7 linked regions of the Rattus norvegicus genome follow. The protein of the gene in region 1 interacts with the protein of each later gene in a biochemical or structural test. Links are inferred from orthologs where the notes say so. Each region holds a gene or a part of one and is shown in the gene's direction. Other genes may lie near its edges.

Evidence for each region.
Region 2: the proteins of Crebbp (region 1) and Sumo1 form a complex in vitro, tested with the Homo sapiens proteins (2 studies listed by BioGRID, with this or other methods). The link is inferred for Rattus norvegicus from reciprocal best matches to the Homo sapiens genes CREBBP and SUMO1.
Region 3: the proteins of Crebbp (region 1) and Klf1 form a complex in vitro, tested with the Homo sapiens proteins (2 studies listed by BioGRID and IntAct, with this or other methods). The link is inferred for Rattus norvegicus from reciprocal best matches to the Homo sapiens genes CREBBP and KLF1.
Region 4: the proteins of Crebbp (region 1) and Kat2b form a complex in vitro, tested with the Homo sapiens proteins (4 studies listed by BioGRID). The link is inferred for Rattus norvegicus from reciprocal best matches to the Homo sapiens genes CREBBP and KAT2B.
Region 5: the proteins of Crebbp (region 1) and Smad3 form a complex in vitro, tested with the Homo sapiens proteins (3 studies listed by BioGRID, with this or other methods). The link is inferred for Rattus norvegicus from reciprocal best matches to the Homo sapiens genes CREBBP and SMAD3.
Region 6: the proteins of Crebbp (region 1) and Hif1a form a complex in vitro, tested with the Homo sapiens proteins (6 studies listed by BioGRID and IntAct, with this or other methods). The link is inferred for Rattus norvegicus from reciprocal best matches to the Homo sapiens genes CREBBP and HIF1A.
Region 7: the proteins of Crebbp (region 1) and Creb1 form a complex in vitro, tested with the Homo sapiens proteins (15 studies listed by BioGRID, with this or other methods). The link is inferred for Rattus norvegicus from reciprocal best matches to the Homo sapiens genes CREBBP and CREB1.

The regions. Positions count from the first base shown.
Region 1 is NC_086028.1:11,932,840-11,936,339, forward strand, and holds part of Crebbp (histone lysine acetyltransferase CREBBP), read left to right. Parts: intron 1-93; coding exon 94-282; intron 283-1,733; coding exon 1,734-2,147; intron 2,148-3,239; coding exon 3,240-3,419; intron 3,420-3,500. UniProt on the Homo sapiens protein: Acetylates histones, giving a specific tag for transcriptional activation. Mediates acetylation of histone H3 at 'Lys-18' and 'Lys-27' (H3K18ac and H3K27ac, respectively).
Region 2 is NC_086027.1:68,600,004-68,604,187, reverse strand, and holds the start of Sumo1 (small ubiquitin-related modifier 1), read left to right. Parts: upstream 1-1,384; 5' UTR 1,385-1,425; coding exon 1,426-1,437; intron 1,438-4,184. UniProt on the Homo sapiens protein: Ubiquitin-like protein that can be covalently attached to proteins as a monomer or a lysine-linked polymer.
Region 3 is NC_086037.1:40,155,852-40,160,079, reverse strand, and holds the start of Klf1 (Krueppel-like factor 1), read left to right. Parts: upstream 1-1,428; 5' UTR 1,429-1,475; coding exon 1,476-1,616; intron 1,617-2,200; coding exon 2,201-3,014; intron 3,015-4,073; coding exon of another isoform or gene 4,074-4,088; coding exon 4,089-4,228. UniProt on the Homo sapiens protein: Transcription regulator of erythrocyte development that probably serves as a general switch factor during erythropoiesis. Is a dual regulator of fetal-to-adult globin switching.
Region 4 is NC_086027.1:6,879,145-6,882,644, forward strand, and holds part of Kat2b (histone acetyltransferase KAT2B), read left to right. Parts: intron 1-257; coding exon 258-394; intron 395-3,500. UniProt on the Homo sapiens protein: Functions as a histone acetyltransferase (HAT) to promote transcriptional activation. Has significant histone acetyltransferase activity with core histones (H3 and H4), and also with nucleosome core particles.
Region 5 is NC_086026.1:73,129,525-73,133,540, reverse strand, and holds the start of Smad3 (mothers against decapentaplegic homolog 3), read left to right. Parts: upstream 1-1,216; 5' UTR 1,217-1,418; coding exon 1,419-1,624; intron 1,625-4,016. UniProt on the Homo sapiens protein: Receptor-regulated SMAD (R-SMAD) that is an intracellular signal transducer and transcriptional modulator activated by TGF-beta (transforming growth factor) and activin type 1 receptor kinases.
Region 6 is NC_086024.1:98,397,898-98,401,397, forward strand, and holds part of Hif1a (hypoxia-inducible factor 1-alpha), read left to right. Parts: coding exon 1-93; intron 94-678; coding exon 679-962; intron 963-1,910; coding exon 1,911-2,033; intron 2,034-2,140; coding exon 2,141-2,574; intron 2,575-3,500.
Region 7 is NC_086027.1:73,432,228-73,435,727, forward strand, and holds part of Creb1 (cyclic AMP-responsive element-binding protein 1), read left to right. Parts: exon of another isoform or gene 1-614; coding exon 615-757; exon of another isoform or gene 758-3,500.

The DNA.
Region 1 (3,500 bases):
AAAGTATACTTTATTTGTAAGGCTTTGGATCTCCATAGCACTGCGTTATCTCTTGAAGACTCCAGCCTAACACTTCTGATTCTTGTCTTATAGATGGCCATTTCTCCTTCCCGGATGCCTCAGCCTCCCAATATGATGGGCACCCATGCCAACAACATTATGGCCCAGGCACCTACTCAGAACCAGTTTCTGCCACAGAACCAGTTTCCATCATCCAGTGGGGCAATGAGTGTGAACAGTGTAGGCATGGGGCAGCCCGCAACCCAGGCAGGTGTTTCACAGGTACATTCAGTGTGGGAGCCTGGTCAGCTAGTATTTACGTAGCCTCAGCCTCTGTTGACAGGTTCCTGTCTTATTTTATGGGAACTAGAATTCTAGAGTATATATCTCCATTTCCCATTTTGCTCCGTAATTTTTAATTCTCAATCCTTCTAGGTGAACTTCACACAAAAGTAAAATGGGTTGTGGTTGTGGGGTTTTTGGTTGGTTGGTTGGTCTTTTGTTTTTGTTTGTTCATTTGTTTTATTTTCTTTATATTTTTTATCTTTGGATTTTGGTTGCTGTTTGTGTGTTTTAGAAATCTAAGATTAACGGCATCCTGAGAAGTACTAGAACTTGAAGGGTGGATCCTCTTTTAGTGACTTGGTTTCTTGGATTTCAGTGTGTGTGTGTGTGTGTGTGTGTGTGTGTGTGTGTGTGTGCGCGCGCGCGCGTCTGTCTGTCTGTCTGTCTCTCTGACTATGTGTGTTGGGGGTCAAGGCTAGCAGACTCATTGGAGTAGCACTCTTCTCCTGAGCATGCCTCAGTTATTTAGTTACAGCCGACTTTCCCACCCATTTTACTGCTTTCTCCCACTTTGGTTAACTGTAGTATATCAAATGTCAGCTGCATACAAAGTAGGCTAAATCTTTTCTCAAAATAAAAAAAAATTGTGTCCTTTTAAGAATTTAGCTAATGCTGAATGAGTTGTTGAATATGTTAGGCTTGCTCAGTAATGATTAATTTTCTCTATCTCATTTCTTCAGAACAGAGATCAGGAAACCAACTTTCTTCTCTTTCCAGAGTCTCTCCATGTTACGTAGCCCAGGCTACACTCTTTGTATCTTAGCCATATGCCACAATGACCAGCAGTAAACCTTTTCTGTTCAACAGCTGGTTCTCAGGGCCATAGTCCTAGTCTTAACTGTTTAACTCTGCTCTCAAAGTGTATAAGTAGTTACACACACCATGTAACTTGTAATCTGGTTGTTGTTGTCATCCTGTAGAACTGGACCAAAGTCCCTAGGCCAAACTTGTCTCTGGAATGGTAATTTTGATTCTCTCTCTCTCTCTCTCTCTCTCTTTTTTTTTTTTTTTTAAGTCAGGGGTCTCCCCAGTGTTCTAGTATCTCAACTTATTTTAAAAAAAAAAAAAAGCCCTTTTTCTGTTGTCTAAGTAGATGTTACAAAACATGAAGTCGGTAAACTAAGTAAATGTGTCTAAGCCATGAATATTGTAATCAGATATTGACGTTATACAAATCAGAGTATAGAAGCATTTTAGTGCTTATTATTACATGGTGTGGTGCATGCTATAAATGGTTAGTCTGAAGTTTTGCAAATGTACTATCCTCATGAAACTACCAGAACTAATTAAGAAACTAGAATTACATTTTTCTAATTTTTTTTTCCGTAAGTCCCTTATGGTTTCAATTGGGTAAAGTAAGTTTTACATATTCTTATTATTTCTTTTAGGGCCAGGTGCCTGGAGGTACACTTCCTAACCCTCTGAACATGCTGGCGCCCCAGACCAGCCAGCTTCCTTGCCCACCAGTGACACAGTCACCTTTGCACCCGACTCCACCTCCTGCTTCCACAGCTGCTGGCATGCCCTCTCTCCAGCATCCGACACCACCAGGGATGACCCCTCCCCAGCCAGCAGCTCCCACTCAGCCATCCACTCCTGTGTCATCTGGGCAGACTCCTACCCCAACTCCTGGCTCAGTGCCCAGTGCTGCCCAAACACAGAGCACCCCAACAGTGCAGGCAGCAGCACAGGCTCAGGTGACCCCACAGCCTCAGACTCCAGTGCAGCCACCATCTGTGGCCACTCCTCAGTCATCACAGCAGCAACCAACGCCTGTGCATACTCAGCCTCCTGGCACACCGGTGAGCCTCTTCGTCATTATCAAGCTAAACTCATACAGGGCACCTTACCATAAGAATGATGTGTCGAGCACTCGTGCACAAGCAGGCATATCTAGCTAGAAAAGTAAGATGCCATCTTTTAAAAAAAGGACTATTCTGTCTGTTGGGATGCTATAGCAAATTGCTCTGGTGCCAAAAAGTGAGAGAGAGAGAGAGAGAGAGAGAGAGAGAGAGAGAGAGAGAGAGAGAGAGTGTGTGTGTGTGTGTGTGTGTGTGTGTGTGTGTGTGTGTCTGAAATTGCAGTAAACTGAATTGTTCCTCTATTGTCCCTAAAGGTATGGCTTATAGTTTGCCTTGGTTAAAGTGGTTTATAGAAATCAATAGTCCTCGGTATGTCACACATTGAACTGTATGCACTACCATTATTTTACCTGTTTTCTGTTCTAGAGTAATTACCGTCCAGGTTTGACTGCTTTTGTGCTTTTGTGGGTTTAGTAGACATGCTATGCTCCAAACTATAAAGGTCTTGGCTAATCAACCTTGTTTGAGAATACATGCCTTTTTTTATTCATAATGAAACAACAGATCCCCTCCTCCCGGGTTTGTATTAATTCTTAGATATTTAAGCTATTTGTAGAATGACAAAATTAATCATGCAACAGTTGGAAAGATGACATTACTGTTGGTTTCTCCATAAGGGCGTGTGCTTACTCTTACCTCTTACCAGAGCTTTATCTTTCTTTATTAGTTTCTGTAGTGCTTCATAGGGTAAAGCCTGTAATGGAGTGGGGTGTTTGCTTACTCCACTGCCATCACTGTCCTGTGAGACATGCTTCATATAGGCCATTAGTCCCCAACCTCCCTGTAAATACTTAAGGGTTTGCCTTTCTCCATAAGTAGGAATGTTAGTGAAGAAAATAATGGTAAAATAATCCAGTCAGAAAGCAGAGAGACTATAACTTAGAAAAGTACTTCTGCCCTTTAGTGGTCATACTAAGTACTTAGGTTGTAAGGAGAAATACTAAACAGAAGACTGAGCTTGGAGGTACAAGAGTTGGAGGAACATTTGTGTTATCTGCTTTACAGAGGTGAATGATTTTGATTTCTTTGCAGCTTTCTCAGGCAGCAGCCAGCATTGATAATAGAGTCCCTACTCCCTCCTCTGTGACCAGTGCTGAAACCAGTTCCCAGCAGCCAGGACCTGATGTGCCCATGCTGGAAATGAAGACAGAGGTGCAGACAGATGATGCTGAACCTGATCCTGCTGAATCCAAGGGGGAACCCCGCTCTGAGGTAGATGCTCCCTCCCTCAGCCTTAGTGCATGGCTGTGTGTGGCAGCTTTACCGTATGTCCTCAGGACCTAGGATGGTGTT
Region 2 (4,184 bases), on another chromosome or scaffold:
TCCTTCTTTTGATGTGAATGTTCATATTTTCATTAGTAATTGTTAATAATTTTTTAATTTTTATGAGTGTTTCTGTCCGAATGTGTGTCTATGAACCACATTTAGGCCTGGTGCAGTGCTGAAAAACATATCAGATTCTCTGGGACTAGAGTTATAGGCATTTTTGAATGCATATACGGGTGCTGGGAATCAAACCTGAGTCCTCTGGAAGAGTAGCCAATGCTCTTTGATTGCTGGGCCACTTATAATCGGCTCATTACTAATTACAGAAAAGATTATTTTATTAATGTCTTGTACTGTGAAGGTTTTTGACTTACTTTAGTTTTCATTTTTCCCCCCTTTACTTAGTATAACCTTAATCTTCCCTGAATGTTTGTGCAAGAGGGTCACTGTATTCAAAGGAAGATGTTTAGGTCTATGATGTAAGGCAACTAGTTTATGAGCTGGAGGGAGCTCTTGCAACTTCAACTTTCAATAGCATTTTGGTCATCTATAGCCACCAAGACTTTGTTCTAGAGCTGGAGATGTGGTGGCCCAGGTCTTTAATCTCAGCACTGGGGAGGCAGAGGCAAGAGGAGGCCAGTCTGGTTGACTTAGCAATGTTCTATAATAGCCAGAGCTACTTAGTGAGACCCTGCCTCAAAACACAAAACAAAACCAAAGATGTGACCGGAAGGGTTGTTTCTTCATGCCCCACCCCTAGACTCCCACAGGGTTCTTCCATGTAGCCTTGGCTGTCCCGGAACTCACTTTGTAGACCAAGATGGCCTCAAACTCACAGAGATCTGCTTGCCTCTATCACTCGGAGTACGCCACCATAACTCAGCTCGTTGTGGTTAACTTCATTCACTCTGACATGCTAGTGGCTTCCAAATCGCTTTCACTTTCTCTCTTGTAGAAAATGAAAACTTGTTACTATTGTATTTCTAGTAATCAAAGTCATGAATGTGGCAGCAGCAAGCAAGAGGGGGCCATAAAGATATTATACAGGGAATTCACTATATTCAGGAAGAGTTGGTTCCGGCCTCAGAAGCGTACAAGATGTCCAACAGGGAGGAGCCTAAGCGGTCAGTTTGACCCCAAACACACACAGCCTGCAGGCAAAGCGCTGGTCTCCCTAAGGCCTGAGGCAGCGGGCCGGTTTTCCCGGCCCCGCTGAAGACCTAGCGGTTCTCTTGCTCCAGGAAAGTAGCTTAACCTTGACGATTTCATCTCCCGCATTCCCTAAGGCGTTTTCCCGCTTCCCTTTCCCGTCTTCCCAAACTCTCCTCTGCGCGCTGCGGAAGTGACGCAAGACGTAGCGGAAGTCCCTGCAGCCGCGGTGTTGTGCTGTGGAGAAGAGACGGATTTGTAAACCTCAGAGTGCGGTTCTGCCTGCCGGAGGCCGCTGTGGTGCGGAGACCCCCGGGTGAATCCACCGACACCATGTCTGACCAGGTACCGGGCCACGGCCTTGGGGCTCAGGGCCGTCGGCTGCTGGCTGAGCCCCTGGAATGGGGCGCGGGGGGAGGGGGTGATGTTGGGGGAGGGGGCTGCCGGTGGGGAGGGGGCCGCGAGGGACGCCGAGCGCCTGGCAGAGTCGGGCCGAGCCGCCTGGGATCGAGGGTCTCCGGGTTTTACGCACCCTCCGCGGCCCTTTCGGAGGCCTCTACCCCCACGCCATCCAGCGCCGGGTCTCTTTCGACTGCTCCCAGGTTTCTCTCGGGCTCGCTGGGGGCCCAGGCCCGCTCCCTTGTCCGTGAGAGCAACCTGGGGGAAAACGACCGTTTCCCTTTCAGAGGACCGATGGCAGAAACAAGGCCCTAGGCCCAGTTATGTAACGGGAGAGAATCCCTGCCTGGGAGGCTAGGTGGCCCTGAAAAGCAGCTCGATTCTACTTTGGGTTCTTGGTCCCGGAGAGTGGGGGGCGGGCAGGGATCCTTGTTTGGGGTGACTGGGAACCCAGGAGACGCTGCTTTTCAGTTGTGTTTGCCTGGAGGGTCAGTCCGTCTTTGCCCACTTCAGAGTCATTTTTCCATCCGGGGGTGCGGAGCGGTCGACTCTTTCTCTGTACTTTCCATTTCTTACTCGGGATTGGTCCATCAACTCTCCAGTTGTAGGAGCGCTCAGAATAACCGAGAAACAACAAACTGCGTAGAGTGCCACCACCAACATGCCATCCATACGGTTTTTGTCTGGCTTTCCTTTTGTTTGGTCAGATGACTTAATTTTCAGAGTATTTTTTTTTTTTTTAATTTTTACTTCTTTAGTTACAATTCAGCAAACTTTTTTCATTCTACTTTACATTGTAGTTGAGCTTTTTTAAAATTTTTTTTGTTGGTTTTTTTTTTTTTTTTTTTTTTGAGACGTTGGTTTTCTGTGTAGCCTGGTTGTCCTGGAACTCCCTCTGTAGACGAGGCTGGCCTCCAGTTTATAGAGATCCGCCTGTCTGTTTCCTGAGGATGAAAGGCTTGCAACCACCCCAGACTGGCCATAGTGGTTCTATTTTTATAGCCTATCTACACTGTAAATTAGTTGTGGGATGGATTTACTTATTAATAATCTGGATTATTAATCTTTTGGGCTAGAAATGACTTTATGAAGCCCATAATTTGTTTATGACAGTTGTTTACTTAGTTACCAGAGAGGAGAGATCAGCTGTGTAAACGCTTATGCTTCATCAGACTTCTATTTTTAAAGCATGTTAGCCAGATGAGAGGGCAACATACAGAAAGAGTTTTAAGTTTTAGGATTAGTTTTGCTCTAGTTTGAACTTACATTATGTGAGGATATGAAGAAAGAAAAGAGGACCCTAGGACACAAGGTTTCAGGGAGTCTGCAAAGTCACTCTATGCTTGCTTAGGACTCTCTCACCTCACTTGGGGTCTTTGGGTGCTGGACCTAGGGCCTCCCACATGTGCTTGCCAGGCAGGCACTAAACCCTCATTTCTCCTTTTACTTCATTTCATTAAGTTGTCTAGGTTGGACTGTAACACACTTGTCTTTGAACTTGGACTCCCTCAGCCTTGCAGAGTAGCTGGGATTACAGAGTTATGCTGCCACACTTGGTGTGTGTGTGTGTGTGTGTGTGTGTGTGTGTGTTTCTCATTCTATCATGGATGTTCAATGAAAATTTTAGAAACATGACAAAAAAGTAGAACAAATCTTTTTTTTTGAGGCAGGGTCTTAACTATGTAGCTTTTCCTGGCCTGGAACTCAGTTTCTCCTGTGTCTGTTTCCTGAGTGCTGGGATTAAAGATGTCTACCACCACAGTTGGCAAAACAAGTCTTTTTTTTTAAATTGAGCTACACATTAAAGCAATTTGCATAGGAAATAGTGCTGCTACTCTTAAAATTTTTGTCTTTAAAAAAAGTAATAAAAATGTATCTAACATTTTAGGGGTTTATTTAGTTCAAGTCAAGGGTTTCTCTGTGTAGCCTTAGTTGTCCTGGAACTTGCTATGTAGATCAGATTGGCCTCAGATTTTCCTTGCCTTGCCTCTGCCTCCCAGAGTGTATACCACCACGACAGCTGGGTTGATAGGTTTTTAAATCATTGAGAGTGTGATAATGGATTTGGGAGCTGTTGCTTTAGGCTGATGGATAACATTAATCTTAGTTCCCAGAACAAGTTCAGTATTGAGTGTTAAAGATTTGGAGAAAACGGTTAAGTGAATCCTTGCCTGTAAGAGGTTTATAAGTGAGAGTAGGAATCCCCAAGTACTGTGTGTAATAGCAACAGCCTGAGACTGAGCTGTCTTCAGAAGGTGGCCTTAGAGGGTACTTTTTCAAGTTGGGGGGTTCGATAATGTGCTTGACTTGAATACAAGATGCCCTCCAGTACCCATGCACATTTTATTTTCTGAGGCAACTCTTAGAAGCTTGTATCTTGTGCTTAAAATAGTCACATTGAGTAATAGTTTCAGCTTTTCTCTTTGTTTTGAGATGCTCTCACTGTGTATCTAGGCTGGCAGTGATCCTTCTGTTTTTACTTTCCTGAGTCCTGGGATTACAGGTGTATGTGTATGCCACTGTGTCTTGCCATAATTTCAGTTTAAAATGAGTGGATCTTTATATCTAAAATAGATCACAATCTAATGCCTAAACCTTGAGAATTCACTGAATTATGCAGTTTTTTTAAAAAGAAGGTACTATAGGTCCCATCATTGGTACATGATTTCCCAAAGAATGAGGATCATTCTATA
Region 3 (4,228 bases), on another chromosome or scaffold:
ATTTATTTATTTATATATAAGTACATTGTAGCTGTCTTCAGACACACCAGAAGAGGGCGTGAGATCTCATTAAAGATGGTTGTGAACCACCATGTGGTTGCTGGGAATTGAACGCAGGTCCTCTGGAAGAACAGTCAGTGCTCTTAACCACTGAGTCATCTCTCCAGCCCCAGAACCGTTTACTCTTGTTGTCTTTTGAGACAGAGACCATGTAGCTCTGGCTGTCCTGGAACTTATGTAGACTAGACAGGTCTCTCAAATTCACAGAGATCTACCAGTCTCTGCCTGCCAAGTGCTGGGATTGAAGGCATTTACTACCACGCCTGACTAGGTACCATTTCCTATAATGGATCCGACGTCCCCTATGGACACTGAGGAACGATGGTGTATGTGCGATCACATTACGGTACACATGACCCTCTGTTTCCCTACCCTGACTCACGTGGCACCAGAATAGAAGTATGGAAATAGCGGACTACCTTCCATGGGGGCCACAAACAACAAGTAGTTAGGTAGTCAGGGTTGAGCTCTCCTGAGGGGCATACCTACTATGGCTCCATCTATGGGTCCTATCCCACCACACTGTAGGATTCGTAGCCCTCCCCTTCAGTTCCCCTGTAGTAGCCACCAAGGGTCCTCAGTGTCCAAGGGTGGACTGATTTGGGAGGTCTCCTTTTGCTAAACAGCTCAGACCCCCAACACAACGCAGGCACTTCAAAGCCAAGATAATTTGTGGCACCAACCCCCAGCTCTTCCGCTGAAGGAGGAACAGGGCTATGTTGTTCTGGGCCCCCTACCTGATAGCAGCCTGAAACATCTGGTGTGTCTGATAATGCCCAAAAGAGAGCTGGTGCCAAGGCCCGCCATTAGCACTGTTGCTGCTGTTTGTCTGAGAGGGAAAGGGCTGCAGTGGCCCTGATGGGGATCAAAGGGTCCCAAAGAACTTTCCCAAGAAATCTATCCTTCCTGGTCTACTCCTTCTCCAAGGAGAGAGACTTGAGACCAGATCAGAGTCCTCTCAGTCCTCTGGGGGTGGGAGTAGGGGACCAGGACTTTTCTTTACCCTTCATCTGAACCCCAAGACTTTGAAGCCCCTATTCTTTGACATCTGACTTGTTTTATACACAGGGTTGGTTTTCAGGGACCAGTTCCCAAACAGGCCAAGGTGAGGTCTGCTCCTTGAAAGTGACAAGCCACAACTTTAATCCCAGCACTCAGGAAACAAAGGCAGGTAGATCTTGGTGAATTCGAGGCCAGTCTGGCCTACATAAGTCAGTCCAGGACAGCCTGGGCTCCATTACACAGAGGAACCCTGTTTCAAAAAACCTTTTTTTAAAAAAAAAAGACACACGGCACACTCATATCACACACACCCTCCTTCGCCTTTTGCCTTGCCAGAGTCTTATCAGAGAAGACAGCCAATCAGATGTGGGCAGACAGGAGCCCTCCAAGGAACCTTCCTAGCCTCATAGCCCATGAGGCAGAAGAGAGAGAGGAGGCCTGAGGCCCAGGGTGGACAGCAGCCAGTCATGGCCTCAGCTGAGACTGTCTTACCCTCCATCAGTACACTCACCACCCTGGGACAGTTCCTGGACACCCAGGAGGACTTCCTCAAGGTGGGGCCAGTGGGGGAGGGGGCACAGGTGGTCTTGCTGAGGCAGTGCTTGGGGGTGGGGCTTATATCTTACTTTATTATCCTCTGCAGGGTTTTTTGGGGGAGGTGGGGGAGTCTGAGCCTGGCTTGGGAGAGGTGTTGCAGGGATCTGATATCAAGGTGAGGCCTATTTCTCGAATAGGAAGGGGAATTCTGAGTTCTGTATCTTAAGAGTCTAGGCTCAAAGAGACAAAGGCCCAGATAAAAGTGTCCTGGGATTTCTAGGCTTTGAGATTTATTTTTGTTGGGCCACGTGAAGATAGGGAAAGGCTAGGGAAAACGGAGGAGTCAAAACTGATTCCTTTGACTCAGAACTCTAGAACCCCTTCTCCCATCCTGAATGCTGTTCTTGGTAAGTGTCTTATCTGTCTCTAGCAAGACCTCATGGAGTTGCCGGGAGCTGAGAAGGGGGTTAGGGGAACAGTGTGGGTAAATGATAGGCACGCAAACCCTCAACCAACCTGCCCCAACGATGTTTCCAGCCGGGGTTGCTTCAGGGCCAGGTACCCAGTGCCTACCATTCAAGCAGTGCGCTCCCTCCCGCAGTGGTGGCGGTCTGAGGAGACACAGGATTTGGGCCCGGGACCCCCGAATCCCACGGAACCGTCCTTTCACGTGAGTCTGAAATCAGAGGACCCTCCCGGAGAGGACGATGAGAGGGACGTGACCTGTGCGTGGGATCCGGATCTTTTCCTTACAAACTTTTCAGGTCCCGAGCCGCCCAGCACTCCCCGGACCTGTGCCCTGGCACCCAGCGGGGGCCCAGTGGCACAGTTCGCGCCGCCCGAGTCTCTGAGCGCTTATGCGGGTGGCCCAGGGTTGGTGACCGGGCCTTTGGGCTCCGAGGAGCACGCAGGCTGGGCGCACCCGACTCCGAGACCCCCAACCCCTGAGCCCTTCGTGGCCCCTGTCCTGGCCCCGGGACTCGCTCCCAAGGCGCAGCCCGCATTCTCCGAATCGCGAGCGGTCTCGGCCGGAGGTTTCTTCCCGCGAGCGGGGCTTGCGGTGCCCGCAGCTCCAAGCGCCCCCTATGGGCTGCTGTCGGGATACCCCGCGCTCTACCCGGCGCCTCAGTACCAAGGCCATTTCCAGCTCTTTCGTGGGCTCGCGGCGCCTTCTGCTGGTCCCACTGCGCCCCCTTCCTTTTTGAATTGTCTGGGACCTGGTGCGGTGGGCACAGAACTCGGGGCCACTGCGATCGCCGGAGACGCAGGCTTGTCCCCAGGAGCTGCGCCGCCCAAACGCAGCCGGCGAACTCTGGCACAAAAGAGGCAGGCGGCACACACCTGCGGGCACGAAGGATGCGGGAAGAGCTACACCAAGAGCTCGCACCTGAAGGCGCACCTGCGCACGCACACCGGTAAGGACAGGGCTGGGCCGGAGGGGGCGGGATCTGGAACCGGAAACGGAGCAAAGGGAGGGGCCGGAGGGTGGCCAGAGGCGTGGCTAAAGGAGGCCCCGGCGCTAGGGGTCGTGAAGACCGCACACCTCCCCTCCCCCAGACACTGGGTCAAGTCTACAAGGGGCCATTCCAGACCCAAATGGGAGAATCCCAGCACGCAGGAGGCAGAAGCAGGTGGAGATCAGTGACTTCCAGCCCATTTGGGCTATTATAGCGAGTTTCAGCAGCCTGAGCTACTTAGTGAGATCCTGTCTCATAAATAAGTAGATGTAGACAGAAGGCCTGGGGAACATTTTGGAGGCTTCAGTGTTACAAGCGGATGTGTAAGGCCTAGGTTAGAGATGGGAGAAGAGCAGAATGGAAAATGAATGGCACATAAGGAGAAACTAGAGGGGTAAACCCTGGAGGGTACAAGCTTAGAATGTCAGAGCTCAGGATATAGCTAGTCATGCTCGAGCTGGAACTGTATGGGATCAGGAGGTTGAGACATTTAAGTAGAATCAGTTTCAGGGGCAACTGATGGAGGTACCAGAGATAAGGCAGGCCACAAGAAAAGAAGGAAATGCTGGGAGACAGAGCCTAGAAAGAGAAACGGGGTCATCCCAGGATTGGACGACAGTTACAGGTCTCCCAAGCATGGCAAGACTTGCATCAGGTATAAAACCAGAAGAGAGGGATTCACTAGAAATAGGGCCTTAGACCCTGGGGTGGATTTCAGGGCTTGGATCAAGTTCAGGAACATGATTGGATATCATCGGCAGACCCTGTCAGTGCAAGAAATAGCTGGAAAAAGAAAACTGAATGATGATGCATCTACATACGGTCTCAGGCAGGGAACTAGTACATAGGAAATGGGATAGAAGACCAGAAATGAGAAAACTAAAGGACAGCAGCTGTAGATACAGAAACGGATCATGTCACAGAAGGCAGGACTGTGTGCCCTTTAAACTGTGAGATGTCACCTAAGACTTGGCTCCACTTCATCAAGTGCGCAAACTTGGAGGGTGTTACTTACAGCTCCCTGTCCTTCAGGAGAGAAGCCTTATGCCTGCTCCTGGGATGGCTGCAACTGGAGGTTCGCTCGCTCTGACGAACTGACGCGCCACTACCGGAAGCACACTGGACATCGCCCCTTCTGCTGTGGCCTCTGCCCACGTGCTTTCTCACGCTCC
Region 4 (3,500 bases), on another chromosome or scaffold:
AACATGCTTTAATAACTCATATGCCAAGTTGAAAGTCATCTTAGAAAATAGGCAATCTTTAAGATAGACCTGGAATGGGCAGTCTCCCTTCTCAACCTTCACTACCACCCTTTCTCCTCCTGGAATAGCCAGGGATACATGGCAAGACCTTGTCTCACTCCATGTCTCCTCCCAAATAAGTTAGATTCATCAGTATGTATTTTCCATTTCAAACCATCCTTTTTTTTTTCTTTTGCCTTTTATTTTGAACATCACAGGAGAAAAGAGGAAAATGAACAACTCTCATGCTCCAGAGGAGGCCAAGCGATCTCGAGTGATGGGGGATATTCCTGTGGAACTGATCAGTGAAGTTATGTCTACCATCACAGACCCTGCAGGGATGCTTGGACCAGAGGTCAGCAGCTGGGAGGGCCTTCTGGTCGCCCTGCCGTAAGAGCTGTCAGAGCTGAGGGTGGGGTACTGAGAACACACTGCTGGTCACCTGTAACCTGGAGATCGATCACTGTAGGGAGGGCAGGAATGGCTAACTAAGATGTGGTTCCCTTCGATGAATATCAGTTATGGGGCCACAAACTACAGTTTCAAGTAGTTGGAAACTTTTCCACATTGGAGAATTTCAAGCCTCCCTCAGCAATGAAAAAAAAAAAAAAGTAACCAAACAACAACAACAACTACAACAAAAACCCAAGAATCAAAACCAAAAACAAAAGCCCCCCCCCCCCCCCCAAAAAAAACACCCAAACCCCACAGAGTGTGTTGAGCCTGCAGATTTATCAGGGGTCACCTCCCATTTCCCTTTCTTTACCTCCTTTCTCCTCTCCTGTGAACCCTTTAGAATCATTTCACAGCTCCAAACAGATGTAATAATACCTCATACCTCGTGCATTTGCTTGTGTCTTGTACTAAAGCAATTCTCTTAGATAATCACCTGAGCTAGCACTCAGGGAATTTAACTTCATTATAAGGTTCTCTGGCTTAGGGTTGGCAGACTGCAGCCTACCAGTCATAGCTGCTATTCAACTTATGGGCTCAAGTAATTCTGTGTCAGCTTCTAACTGGCTGGGAGGAAAGGTGTGTCCCAGCAGATTGGGCTTGTAATAGCTCTTATGGCATGTGTGTCTTGCAAAACAAAATGTTTATCTCTTGACTTCACTGGAAAGTTTGCTGACTTGTGGCCTAATTTTCAACCCCTGTGTCTAATGACCATCTTACCAATTCATGCTATTCATAACATGCATTATTGTTGGAGACCCAGTTAAGAACCAAGTATGGCATTCAGTTTTCATTTCTTCATCTTTTTATCTTCTTTCTCTGGTCCTTTCTTTGTTTCTTTGTTTCCTTCCTTCCGTCCTTCCTTCCCTCCCTTTCTTCCCTCCCTTTCTTTTTCTTTCTTTCTTTCTTCTTCTTCTTTTTTTTTTTTTTTTTTTTTTTGGCTGGTCTCATGTGGTCGAGGCTGATCTTGGACTCACTGTATAGCCAGGATTAATGACCTTGAACCACACTGCTAGGTTCATGAGGTGCCGGGGATCACATCCAGGGATTGCCACATCCCAGCAAGCATCTGACCTGTGAGCCATATCCCAGGCTCCTTAGTCTCCTTTAACTCAAAGCCTTTCCTCTTCTCTTACAATGTTGCCTTTGTTGAGGGGCCTCGTTAGCGAGTTATTCATAATGTCTCTGTCTGGATCTGTGTGACAGTTTAGATCAATCCAGGTAAAATATCTTAGTTAAAAGTATTGCTCTTGTCTCATTGCAAGACATCCAGGAACAGGGAGGCTTAAGACATTTCCAGGAAATGAAGACATAGCCTGAGTACTAGTGTATACACAGCGTCTGTCTTTTGGGTGTGGCTCTGATAGATTAAATTAGTAAGTTTCATACTGCGCTGTCTTCGTGGCTCTTTTATTAGTGCCAAGGATAATTTGGAGAATTGATTGTTGCAACAGAACCATCTCATAAAGTTCTTTCCTTCCAGTCTGTGGGGGGCAAATGCTGACCTCCTCCTGTGTGTAGGCTTTAGGGATTTCATAGCTTCACACATGAGCAGAGCATGGCCTGCTCAGAGGAAAGTGGGGAGGCAGTCACCCATTTCACAATCCTTGTTGCAGTTAGTAGAGTACTAGTATGCCCAAGAAAGCCACTAACGATGTAGACATTTTTGTAAGCTAGTTGTTAAATGCCTTGGATGCTTGAAATGCCTACCACAGTGGTTGATACCCAGTAACCTGGACGACCAGCCAAAGCCCTCAAAGATAGTGCTATAGTTAGGACTTTTCTGCCCAGCACAGCTGTTTGCCAAAGACTTCCTCGCCCAGCATAAGGTGAATTAAAGCATGAGGTGCTGGCTCTAGGCCATGCAGCCTGCTGTGAGTTAAGTCTGGATCAATAGATACTTCTAGAAAGAAAAGTATCTTCCAAAAAAGAGGTGCTGAGAATATAAAAATGACTGCTTTTTTTTTTTTCCGGAGCTGGGGACCGAACCCAGGGCCTTACGCTTGCTAGGCAAGCGCTCTACCACTGAGCTAAATCCCCAGCCCCAAATGACTGCTGTTTTATGGTGCGTTTCAAGAGTTTAGAACCTGTTGTCTTAATGATATTTAATTAATTATTATTATTTTTTATTTTCATTGCTTTTATGTTGTTATTATGTTGTGTGAGTGAGTCACTCTTGTATAGAGGCTAGGGGACAACTTTCAGTAGTCAGTTCTCTCCTTTAGTTGTGGATTCTGGGCCTCAAACTGAAGTCATCAGTTTTGTGCAGTGAACACCTTCGCCTGATACTCCATCGTATTGGTTCTCTCCTTAAAATGAACACCGACTTACTTAATGTGCCTGTGTGTATGTGTGTTCATGCACCTGTGGAGACACCATGCCATGGTGTGAATACGGAGCTTAGAGAGGCCAGTATGAAGGGATGGTCTTTGTCCAGGCATTGAACTTAGGTTGTCAGGTTTCGTGTCATGCACCCTTACCTGCTAAGCCACTGATCTCCCAATTCAGAATTTTTACATGTATTTTTGTTTACTTATGACATATGTCTGAGTATATGCCATATATGTGTGGCTGCCCACAGAAGTCAGAAAGGGGCATTGGCTGGCTGGAGCTGTAGGCACTTGTGAGCCTCCCAGTATGGGTGCTTGAAAACAAGCTTGGGTCCCTGTAGGACAGCAGGCATTGTGAACTGCTGAGCCTTTTCTCCAGCTCTTCTACCCTCCTTAAAGTTGGAAAATCATGCCAAGTGTTCTATACTAGTGTGGCTATGTCTGCTTGTATGCTACAACAGCAGCTGAGTTGTTGAGAGAGACCATGTCATTAAAAATAGCTAAAATATTTTATTTTATTGTTTACATTATGTGCATATGTGTCTCTCTGTGTGGGATTATGTATATGTGCAAATGCAGGTGCCCAAAGAGGCCAGGAAAGGATGTCAGATACTCTGGCCTGGAGTTACAGGCAGTTGTGAGCTCCCAGTGTGTTTTCTGTAGGACCCACACTCGGGT
Region 5 (4,016 bases), on another chromosome or scaffold:
CTCAAATCAGTAGAGGGACCGGTGGGTAACCAGCCCTGCATTCGCCCAGTCTGCGGTAAAGCCCTAGAGCTACCCCAAGTCAGGTTCTCTTGGCTTCCCACCTAGGCTAACTTTGAATAAACTTCCTAAGTCCTCCAGGCTTGCTCTATACTTTGTGTGTGTGCTCGCGCGCGCGAGTTCACTGATTTGTAAACAAAAGCTCTCTTACTTGTTTGGTGTTGAATTTCGGATCTTCAGTAACACCCTGTAATGTTAATTCTCCCCCTCCCCCAAAGAAAAATCCTAAAGCGCCCGCATTCATTCCTTCAGGAACGCAACAGATGTCTTTGAGGCTCCTTTTCTGTAAAGAGCTTGGTTCACTGGTCCCAAAGGACCCCTGGCTCCAGCTATTGTTCAAGTTGTCACTGAGGTCTCGTAACTCCCCTTTTAAGTCTCCCTCTCCCGTTTTCCAACTCCCTCCTCAGTAGTCTCAGGCAGTCAGCCGTTCTGATCTCACCCAGCAGGAAAACAAAAACAAAACAAAAAACACCTAAAGCAGCCCCGGCCACTGAGCGAGATCAGCGCGCCTCAACTTCCTGGGCCCCGAGCTTTTTCTGAACCCCTCGCCGCGCCCGGGTCCTCTCCCAGGTGCAGCCAGCCCTTGGCGGACCGTGCCTGTTCCCTGCGAGTCTAATCCTCTCTAGTCCTTGCAACTACATCTGAACGTCTTGGGGGCAGCGAGTCCCCAGGAGTCGGGTCCCGCGGCACTTGGCAGAGCTGACGGCCGCCGTGCCCGGTGGCCCACGTGGGCGCGCTTGGCGGAGCTGGGCGGGGAAGGCCGCGGGTCCTCCCCGGAGCAGGGCGCGGGGGAGGAGCGGGGAGCCCCGGCAGCGAGGGGGCGGCGACTGCGTTGGGAAGGAGGCTGCACGCGGAGCTGCGTGAAACGTAGACTTGGGAGCGGGCGGGAGAGGAGCGGGGAGCACGGCTGCACGGCCCTGGCCGGTCCTGCAAGGCGGCGATCGCAGGGGGAGGAGCAGCAGCGCTGCAGAGGCGGAGGGATCTGCGCACCAAAGCCATCCAGGCCAGCAAAGTTTGGCTGGGGGTTGGACTTTCCTTCTCGGAGGCGGCACCCAAACAGCTACCCCGTGCGGAAACCCAAACTTTCTACTGGCACTCGGAGTCTCGCGGCCGCCGCCTCCGCCCCGCGCGTCCCGGGCCTGTCCGTCAGTCCGTCGGTCCGCGTGGAGCCGCTCGGGCGCCGCCGTGTTCCGGATCCCCGCAACTGCAGTGCCGCTATCCTGGCCGGGACGCCTGGGCAAGTTCTCCAGAGTTAAAAGCGAAGTTCGGGCGCGGCGCAGGCCGAGCTGCCTCTGTGCGCCCCCGGCGTCCCCAGTGCGTCCAGCCCCGCCGGGGGCGCCGGTGACCCTTCCGTGCCAGCCATGTCGTCCATCCTGCCCTTCACCCCCCCGATCGTGAAGCGCCTGCTGGGCTGGAAGAAGGGCGAGCAGAACGGGCAGGAGGAGAAGTGGTGCGAGAAGGCGGTCAAGAGCTTGGTGAAGAAGCTCAAGAAGACGGGGCAGTTGGACGAGCTGGAGAAGGCCATCACCACGCAGAACGTGAACACCAAGTGCATTACCATCCCCAGGTGGGGTCCCAGAGCGGCGAGGGGTGGGGGGACGCGCCGGCCCAGCCCCCTAGCGCGGCCCGGTTGGATAAGGAGGGAGGGTGGGAGGGTGTGTGTGTGTGTGTGTGTGTGTGTGTGTGTGTGTGTGTGTGTGTGTGTGTGTTGGATAAGGAGGGAGGGTGGGAGGGTGTGTGTGTGTGTGTGTGTGTGTGTGTGTGTGTGTGTGTGTGTGTGTATGTGTGTGTGTTCGCGCGCGCCTGTAGGGGACGGAGAGTGGGTGGAGGGACCCCAAACAAAACCTTCGGATTTGTCCAGGCTCAGAGCCCAGGCTTCCGTGCGGCATTTTGGCTTCTAGACCTTAACGATCGCCAGCTGCCTCTGGGCAGCGGGGATGCTTCTGAGCTTGGCCCCCTAACTCTCGGGGCTTCGGGCTCCAAGTGGAGGCCCCGCTTTGTTCGGCTCTGCCGGCCGAGCCCCTCCTCCTCCGCCGCCTCCCGCCCCGGGCTCCTGGAGGTGGTGGCGTGTGTCCCTTTCTTTTCTTCAGCTCTGTTCCCCCATTTCTTTTCCTCGTCTACAGGAATGCAGTCGGTACAGCTGTGGGTGAGGAGCGGGAGCCCGTTGATTGACAGATTCCTTCTTCGCTCTTTCTTTGCCTTGGGATTAGCATTTTTACTGAGTATTTTTAGATTTGGTTGTGCCAGCCTCCCGCCCCCTGTGCACGCATGCACGCACGCACTTAGTTAGAGAGCAGAGCACCGACTTTGAAGCGGGAGAAACAAGTGGCAGAAAGTAGGGGCTTTCCCTCTTCCCACCCCACCCCTGCTGGTTTGCGATCTTTTAAATCCAGGGTATTCTGGTGCCTAGAATCGAGCAGGCAGCTCCAGGCAGATAACAAAACACCCTAGGGCTGGCCTCCCATCGGCCCTGCATTCCTGTAGAGCCTCTTTTCCCAAAGCGCTTTGCCATCTGTCCTGACCTCCTTTATCCTTCCCATCGGGCTAGAGGAGTCGGGCGGGAGCTCACAGATGGCTGATGGAAGGGGTCAGTGACTTCGCTCCCAAGGCCTTCTAGAGCATAGTCGCGTCTGGGCAATGGGGTGAGAGCACTTTAGTCTTCTGGTTTTGTTTTGTTTTTTCCTTCTCAGACACCTTTAAAGACTGATTCCAGATGAGGGGCAGGTGGGAATGTTTGGGGACGTCCCTGGCTGCAGAGGGATGGGGGGAGGGCTCCCAGGACCTACACTAGTAGAGGTCATCACTGTTCTGGGTCCTGGTAGCTTCCATCCTTGGCCACCTGCTCAAGGCAGCTGTGTATGGGCTGCCAGCCCTGATAGTAAGGCACAAAACAATGTCTGTCCACAGGGACCTAGGGTTGGCCTTCCTTGGAAATAAACACCACATATGGTGGGAATGCCGACTTAAAAAAAAAAAAAGAAACCAAACAAAAATAAAAGTCTTATCAACTCCAAACCTGAGTGGGTGGATCCTACTGAAGAGGGAAGGCTGTGTGTTGTCTGCTCGGCCTCTGAGCCTCTGCCAGCCGGCTTCAGGGGACCTGGTGTGATGTGGTGGTTTTCTCCGGTTTCCCCTTCTCCTTTATCGTTTCGATGGAGCAGGATGGTTGAGTTTCATAGGGCTCTGTCAGATCTGGAGACGCAGCCTTTTCCCAATCTGCCTGGGTGCACCCAGCCCAAGCGCTTTCTGTTCTGAGCCCTCCTCCAGAGCTATCAACTACGAAGCTGCAGAGTGTTTCACAATTTACAAGGCACGAACGTGCCTGGAGGACAACAGAACCGGGACACAGAAAAGGCACGGAGGTCTAGAACGATCTTGCTTTCAAAGTGACAGAACTTAGAGAGGCAAAGCATTCGACTAGATCTGGCGTACCCTTTCTCCCAGGTTGTTTTGTCCGGGGTGGGTAGTAGATCTCTTCTGCCTGCAAGGCTCTTGGTTAATCTTTGGGCTGGGGGCAGCTTGGAGGAGAGGCTGTGCCTTCCTCACCGGCAGGTAAAAGTTAGTGTGGTACTGAGAGTTCAGGCTAATGCCTGTGCTCCCAGCCTCCTAGGACTGGGTACCTTCAGCCTGGGCCTAGGAGGCCAGGTAAGGAAGCGGGGTGTTCATTCGTTGGCTCTTTGGCTGCAACCGATGACCGAACCCAGGGCTTCCTGCATGTTAGGCAAGCCCTCTGCTGCTGACCTACCCTCCCAGGCCTGGGATTCTTTTCTTTCATCTTTTCTCAACTAGTGAGACCCAGTTGCTTGGGTGGATCCAGACAAAGGTGGATTTCCATCCCTGGATTTTGTGCCCACGCCTCTGGGTCACCCTGTCTCCCTTGGCAACAGCTGCTGCTGTTTTGGCCATGGGCAGAAAGCTAAAGGCCACGTCTTGGGGAGGCGACTAGTTGGCTTCCTGCT
Region 6 (3,500 bases), on another chromosome or scaffold:
TCTTCGACAAGCTTAAGAAAGAGCCCGATGCCCTGACTCTGCTAGCTCCAGCGGCTGGGGACACGATCATATCACTGGACTTCGGCAGCGATGGCAAGTGCTTAGTTACGCTGTCCACCTCTTCCATTGTGTCTGCTGGTTCAGTGGCACTCTGTCTCCTCTCTTGGCTTAACCCTTTGAATGATGCTTACGTGTTCTGTTTTAAATAGTCTCCTCAAAATATTCTGTTTAATATTTGTTTCTGAAATATCATCGCCTTCTCACTTTTATTTTTATGTTCTTTTGAGAATTGTAGCTCAGAGTATCCTGAAGGAATTTCTTGATGCCCCCTTAATTTCCTCCCAGCCACCTCACTGCACCATTCAGTCCAGTTAAATGCAGCACGTGCAGCTGGGTAAATGCTAAAGGGTTTAACAAAGCAGCTGTAGCACAAAAGCAAACGTGAAAATGGAAACTATTACTTCAAATCAGGCATATAGAAAGGTTGAAGGTACATGTCTTACTCCTATCAGTGGTGGACTGAAAAGATAACTTATACTTAATGGTCACACTGTAATACCTATAAACTTTCCAAGTAAAGAAATATCTTCTACATATTTATATATCTTCTAGAAAGCAGAAAATATCATTTTGTTAAAATCCTGATGTTCTTCACACTGATGAACATTTCCTCTGCAGACACGGAAACTGAAGACCAACAACTTGAAGATGTCCCGTTGTACAATGATGTAATGTTCCCCTCTTCTAATGAGAAATTAAATATAAATCTGGCAATGTCTCCATTACCTGCCTCTGAAACTCCAAAGCCACTTCGAAGTAGTGCTGATCCTGCACTGAATCAAGAGGTTGCATTGAAGTTAGAGTCAAGCCCAGAGTCACTGGGACTTTCTTTTACCATGCCCCAGATTCAAGATCAGCCAGCAAGTCCTTCTGATGGAAGCACTAGACAAAGCTCACCTGAGGTTGGTACCATAGAAAAGGTCAGGGATAAATGCCCGACACTGATAGAACCCAAAACTCCTCAGAGGCGGTTTTTAATATCTAGGTTGGACCAGAGCAGAAAGTTCATAAACAGCTGCTTCCAAATTCAAAACAATTCCATTTCAGAGCTTTCCCCTGGTCACACTGTGCTTGAGAGCAGAACAGCTTAGTTGGTTAGTGAGACACAAATAAGCACTGGTTCTCCATTAAACTCTTGTGGGTGAAAACTCTAGGAGTAAGTTAAACAACATGGTATCTCAGACCCAAGGTCGAGAAGGTATTCTTTGCCCAGATGCTTTATCTAGCACAGAAGTGTGTGATTCATTTTGTCCTTGATCTAATAAATAAATGTAATGGAAAATGAAGAAAAGTAAAGTTTTATGCTCAGTCTACCCACCTACCATATTCATTATTGAAATTCTTGTCTATAACTCATAACATAGCAGAGTATCCTCTAAAATATCCAGTAGAATAGGCATTTGGAGATGATGGTGAAAATATCTCTAATTAATTGGATAATTATGTACCGTTGTGGGATCTGAATTATTTGGTGAATGTTATTTTGTAGAATAAACACATCTGGGATGGGGATAGACAACATTTTTTGCCTGGTTGTATTTTGGTTCTATTTTATTTTATTTTATTATATTTTTGAGACAGGGTTTTGCTATGAAATATCTTCTACATATTTCCCTTTTTGGCCTGGAACTCACTTTGTAGACCAGGCTAGCCTCAAACTTACAGATTCTTCTGCCTGTGCCTCTTGAGTGAGTGCTGGGATTAGAGATATGCACCACCACATCAACTAAACAAGTCTTTTAACTGTAATTTTTAGTTAGATAAAACTTTATATAATATTCGTGTATCTAAAACTTCTTAACAAACAGAAATCTTCAGGAAAAAGTAAACACTCCTAACTCTTTTCACAGCCTAACAGTCCCAGTGAGTACTGCTTTGATGTGGACAGCGATATGGTCAATGTATTCAAGTTGGAACTGGTGGAAAAACTGTTTGCTGAAGACACAGAAGCGAAGAATCCATTTTCAGCTCAGGTGCGTCTGTGACCTTGCTTGTTCCATACTGTAAGGGACTGGGTTGAACTTGTTTCTCTTTTACAAGACTGGCCATTATAAAAACTCTTGTATTTATTGTTTGAAAGGACACTGATTTAGACTTGGAAATGCTGGCTCCCTATATCCCAATGGATGATGATTTCCAGTTACGTTCCTTTGATCAGTTGTCACCATTAGAGAGCAATTCTCCAAGCCCTCCGAGTGTGAGCACAGTTACAGGATTCCAGCAGACCCAGTTACAGAAACCTACCATCACTGTCACTGCCGCAACTGCCACCACCGCCACCACCACTGATGAATCAAAAGCAGTGACGAAGGACAATATAGAAGACATTAAAATACTGATTGCATCTCCACCTTCTACCCAAGTACCTCAAGAAATGACCACTGCTAAGGCATCAGCATACAGTGGTACTCACAGTCGGACAACCTCACCAGACAGAGCAGGAAAGAGAGTCATAGAAAAAACAGACAAAGCTCATCCAAGGAGCCTTAACCTATCTGTCACTTTGAATCAAAGGTATTTATATGGAACATAGTTCTGCCGTGTTCTGATATATCTGTGATGTTAAGTGGTTTCTAAATGTAGAGACAACTTTCTGGAAAGGAAAATCATAAAGTTCATTTCATACACTCACTGTCTGAATTAAAACAGACACTCAAAAGCCAGTTTCTAAGTTACATTCTAACTTTTCTCTCTCAAACAATCCTATCAACTGTCTAAATGTAGGTCAGAGGGATGTCTTCCAAAGTCTCTAAAGATCAAGTCCAACCAGTAAGTTCTATAAATGCGAGGCATCTCTTCATGCTGCTGTTCAGAATGGGAAATAGCTGTCTCCCTGCTTAGATCCCTCTAACCTGGGACTTTTGAAGCCAACGTTTAAAAAAAAAAAAAAAAAAAAAAAACCTTCAGCTCCATGGTTCCTTTTTAATCAGACTGGTCTTCAGTTCTCATTGGTAAATGTGGATATTTGCAGACCTCCTTTCTGAAATCTTGTGTATAACTGCAAGAAGTCTTAAACTTATTATTATTCTTCATTACATAGTTTGTTATTATAAAGAAAATAAGCCTTTATTAGATCTACCAAGAGTCCTAGCATGACTTACAATATCATTTCTATAGAATGAAGCAATGCTGGAGCAAATATTTAAAATTTCTGTATATAATATGTAATGGTATTTGACATGTTTTAAATTTGAGGCAAGGAAAATACTTTTCACTAATTAGTGAGTGGAAGAAAAATGACTTCTGCATTATGTCTAGACAGAGCGAGCTGTGGCTGTTAGCAGAAGGAAGGACTCTGCTGTGACTACAGGGAGCTGTGTTCCCCTGTATCACCTGAAGCATTAGGACAGGCCTCCCTTTTTCTTGAGCCAGAAAAAAAGGTGTGGGGCTTTAGGTGAATTCAGTATTTGCAGTTGGGTATAGTAATGTATGCCTTTCTT
Region 7 (3,500 bases), on another chromosome or scaffold:
ATTGTGATTTTCCTGAGATTCATAATAAGACACCTTCTTAAAAACCAAAATAAGCCAGGTGGTGGCGATGCATGCCTTTAATCTTGGCACTTAGGAAGCAGAGGTAGGCAGATCTCTTGAGTTTGTGGCCAGCCTGATCTAAATAGAGTGACAGGGTGAGTTTCAAGATACCAGGACCACACAGAGAAACCCTGTCTCGGGGACACACACACACACACACACACACACACACACACACGGCTTGGAGTGGGTAGAGGGAGATGGGTCTTCTAAAAGATTCAAATTCAATCCCCAGGACACATACAGCATCTCACAGCCATCTGTAACTCTAGTCATACGATATACAGTGTCCTCCTTTGGATTCTGCAGGCACTAAACATGTACAAATAAAACACCCTAGCGCATAAGATAAAAAAAAACAAAACATATGTAGTTTTATTTATTATCCACCACCACCACCCCCATTACCATCACGCAATTCTTGCATTTAAAGTTCCTACTTTGTTTGGAGTTTATTCATGTGTTTGAATTTTTGTCCTATACATTAGCAGTTTCTAATCTTAATTTGTACTTAGTGACTTTTTTTTAATTAAAATAGCTCCTTATTTTTCTAGGAAAATTTTGAATGACTTATCTTCTGATGCACCAGGGGTGCCAAGGATTGAAGAAGAAAAATCAGAAGAAGAGACTTCAGCCCCTGCCATCACCACTGTAACAGTGCCAACCCCGATTTACCAAACTAGCAGTGGGCAGTATAGTGAGTAATACGTTTTTCTATTATGAAAAGTGAGAAGGAAAACTGTTAGGTTCTCTTTAAGGAAATGATAAATGCCAAAGCTTTTGCTGGCAATATTGTTTGCCCTACTGTCAGACATTATTGAAGAATTGTTAAAAGGCATTTATGGGAATGTCACTCTCTTTTTTCTTTTACCCATTCCTGCCTTCCACCATGTTTCTTACATGATTCACACACAAATTACTATTTTTAATTTTAGCATGGTGTTGGCTTGCCAGCCTGTAATTTGTATTCCAGCTGTATTTAAAGTGGATTCCTAAAGCAAAATTTTTAGTTTTTCCAACACGGAAACTTTTGGTATTATTTATAAAGAAGGGTAATTTTTTAATATTTGCTAGTTTTATTTATGAGTGTGTGTGTGCCTGCATGGGTTTATATGCATCACATGTGTGCAGCAGTTCTGGGAAGCCTTTGGATCAGATCCTGTGGAGATAGAGTGACAGACAATTGTGAGCCACCTAATGTGGGTGCCAAGAACCAAGCCTAAGTCCTCTACAAGAGGATTAAGCGTTCTTAACCACTAGGTCATCTGTCTGAACACTAGGGGTGGTGTTCTTGATAAATTGTCTTTACTGTCTGTGATAACTGAGCTAAATAAACTTAGATGGACTTTTTTCCTTAAACTATTGGTAGCTGTAAAGGGGTACATCTTCCCCACCCTGGCCTGGCTCTGTGTCTGTATGTGTGTGTTTACATAGCTTCATACCCAGATTATTTTAAGTGTTCAAGATGGTTCTTCTCTGATATTGTACAAGACTTCTCCTCCAGCATGAACACACGGAGGGTATAACCTATCCCTGTCCTAATTCACTACTTAGGGAGTTTCGCTTGAATTAGGAAAGAAAGACACACAGGAGCTGATGAGGAGGATGAATGGATTGCCTACCATTCCCTTAGATGCTTCAGTTTAAACGTACTAGTACTTTGAGTTTTCTTAAAGCTTTATTCACCTTATATACCATCCTTTTGTACATGCATGTGTGCCTTTGATGAAAGTGATTTAGCATTATGTTCTTGACTTTTCTTTTCCACTAAGAAACAAAGTACTGAATACTCACATGTATGGCAAACTGCTTATTTTGTAACTTGTTTATTTAAAAAAAAATTTTTTTGTTTTATGTGTATGAGTGCTTTGCTTGCATTGTATATCAACAGCACATGTATGTGGTGCCTGTAAAGGTTAGAAGAGAGCATTGGATCCCCTGAAACTGAAGTTACAGGTGGCTGTTAGCCACCACGTGGGTGCTGGGAATTGAATTTGGGTCTTTTGGAAGAGTAGTCAGTGCTCTTAACCTCTTAAGTCATCTCTGCAGTCCTGTGTAAACCTCTTTCTCATTCTTTCCTACTTGTATTCATCCCTCCTTTTTCATTCTGCTTTTTTCCAAAAGCTGTCCTTTACAGAATCTCAGCTATTACAATTTAATTGTATTTAGATTATTTAAGTTAAAATTTAACATAATTATATTTCTTTGTTCATATTTCTTGGTAGCAATTTAATTATACCTAGAGATAATGAATTTATTTTAATGAATTTGGTTTTGTCAGAACTATCTTATACTTTTAAAGTAATCAAGTGTACAAATAAATATTACACAGTTAAAAATGTTTAAATCTTAGATGAGACTTTTATTTTCAAAGAATTGTCGTGTGTGTGTGTGTGTGAGACCTTACTGTTTAAAACAACTATATCTGTTACATAAGAGCAGATGTTTTTAGATTTCCAGGAAAAATAACAAAATCAAATGATCTTAACAGAGTAGCCCATATCTTTTCCTTCCATTCACTTTGAGGTTGTTGCTGTGTAATCAAGAAAAAGTAGAATGTTAATTAAATACACTTGAATTTGCAAATTAACTCCAGGAGAAATGAAGATTTGATTTTGATAACCTTATGATTCTTTAAAAGTCCTTGTTCCCCGACCCTCTTCGTGTATTTTTATTTTATGTGTATGGATGTTTTTGTGCACCAGATGTGTGCAGTACCAGCAAAGGCCAGAAGAGGGTGTCCTGTCCCCTAGAACTAGTTGCTCATGGCTGTGAGCCTCCCTGTTGATGCTGGGAATAGAACCTAAGTTCTCTGAGAGAGCAGCCCTATCTCCAGACCTTTCCAAGTAATCTTACAAAGTTAATCGTAGAATAATTCATAGACATTTTTTAACATCTAAGATAGTAAAATCTGGAATTAGCTAACATAGCATTATATATGCTAGTATGTTAATTTCCACAAATTTATCACCTTGATAAAGTGACTAATAGTCATGAACTCATAGCTCTTGATTGAACAGTGAATTATCCATTTTCTGTGCGCATACCACTCAGGATAGTATAATTACCCAGAGGTCACCGATAATCCTAAATTAATTTACTTCTGTTATACAATAACTTAATTAGGTACATTGGTACCACATTTTTTTTTTAACTTTCCTTTTAATGCAATTATAATCCATTATGAAGAGCTGGGAACAAACCTCAGTTGACAGGGTGTATTCCTACCATGTGTGAAGGTTTGATTCTCAGCACTTGCCCATCATATGCGCGTGCACACCAACACACACACACACACACACACACACACACAATTTATGAAATTGCTCAGGTAAAATTATAATTTTTAGGTTTTTTTTTTTTTTTGAAAACTTGATCCTTGGATTTATCTGAGGAGTCAATCATATTTTTCAGTTCCAGTATCCAAAGATCATGTATTT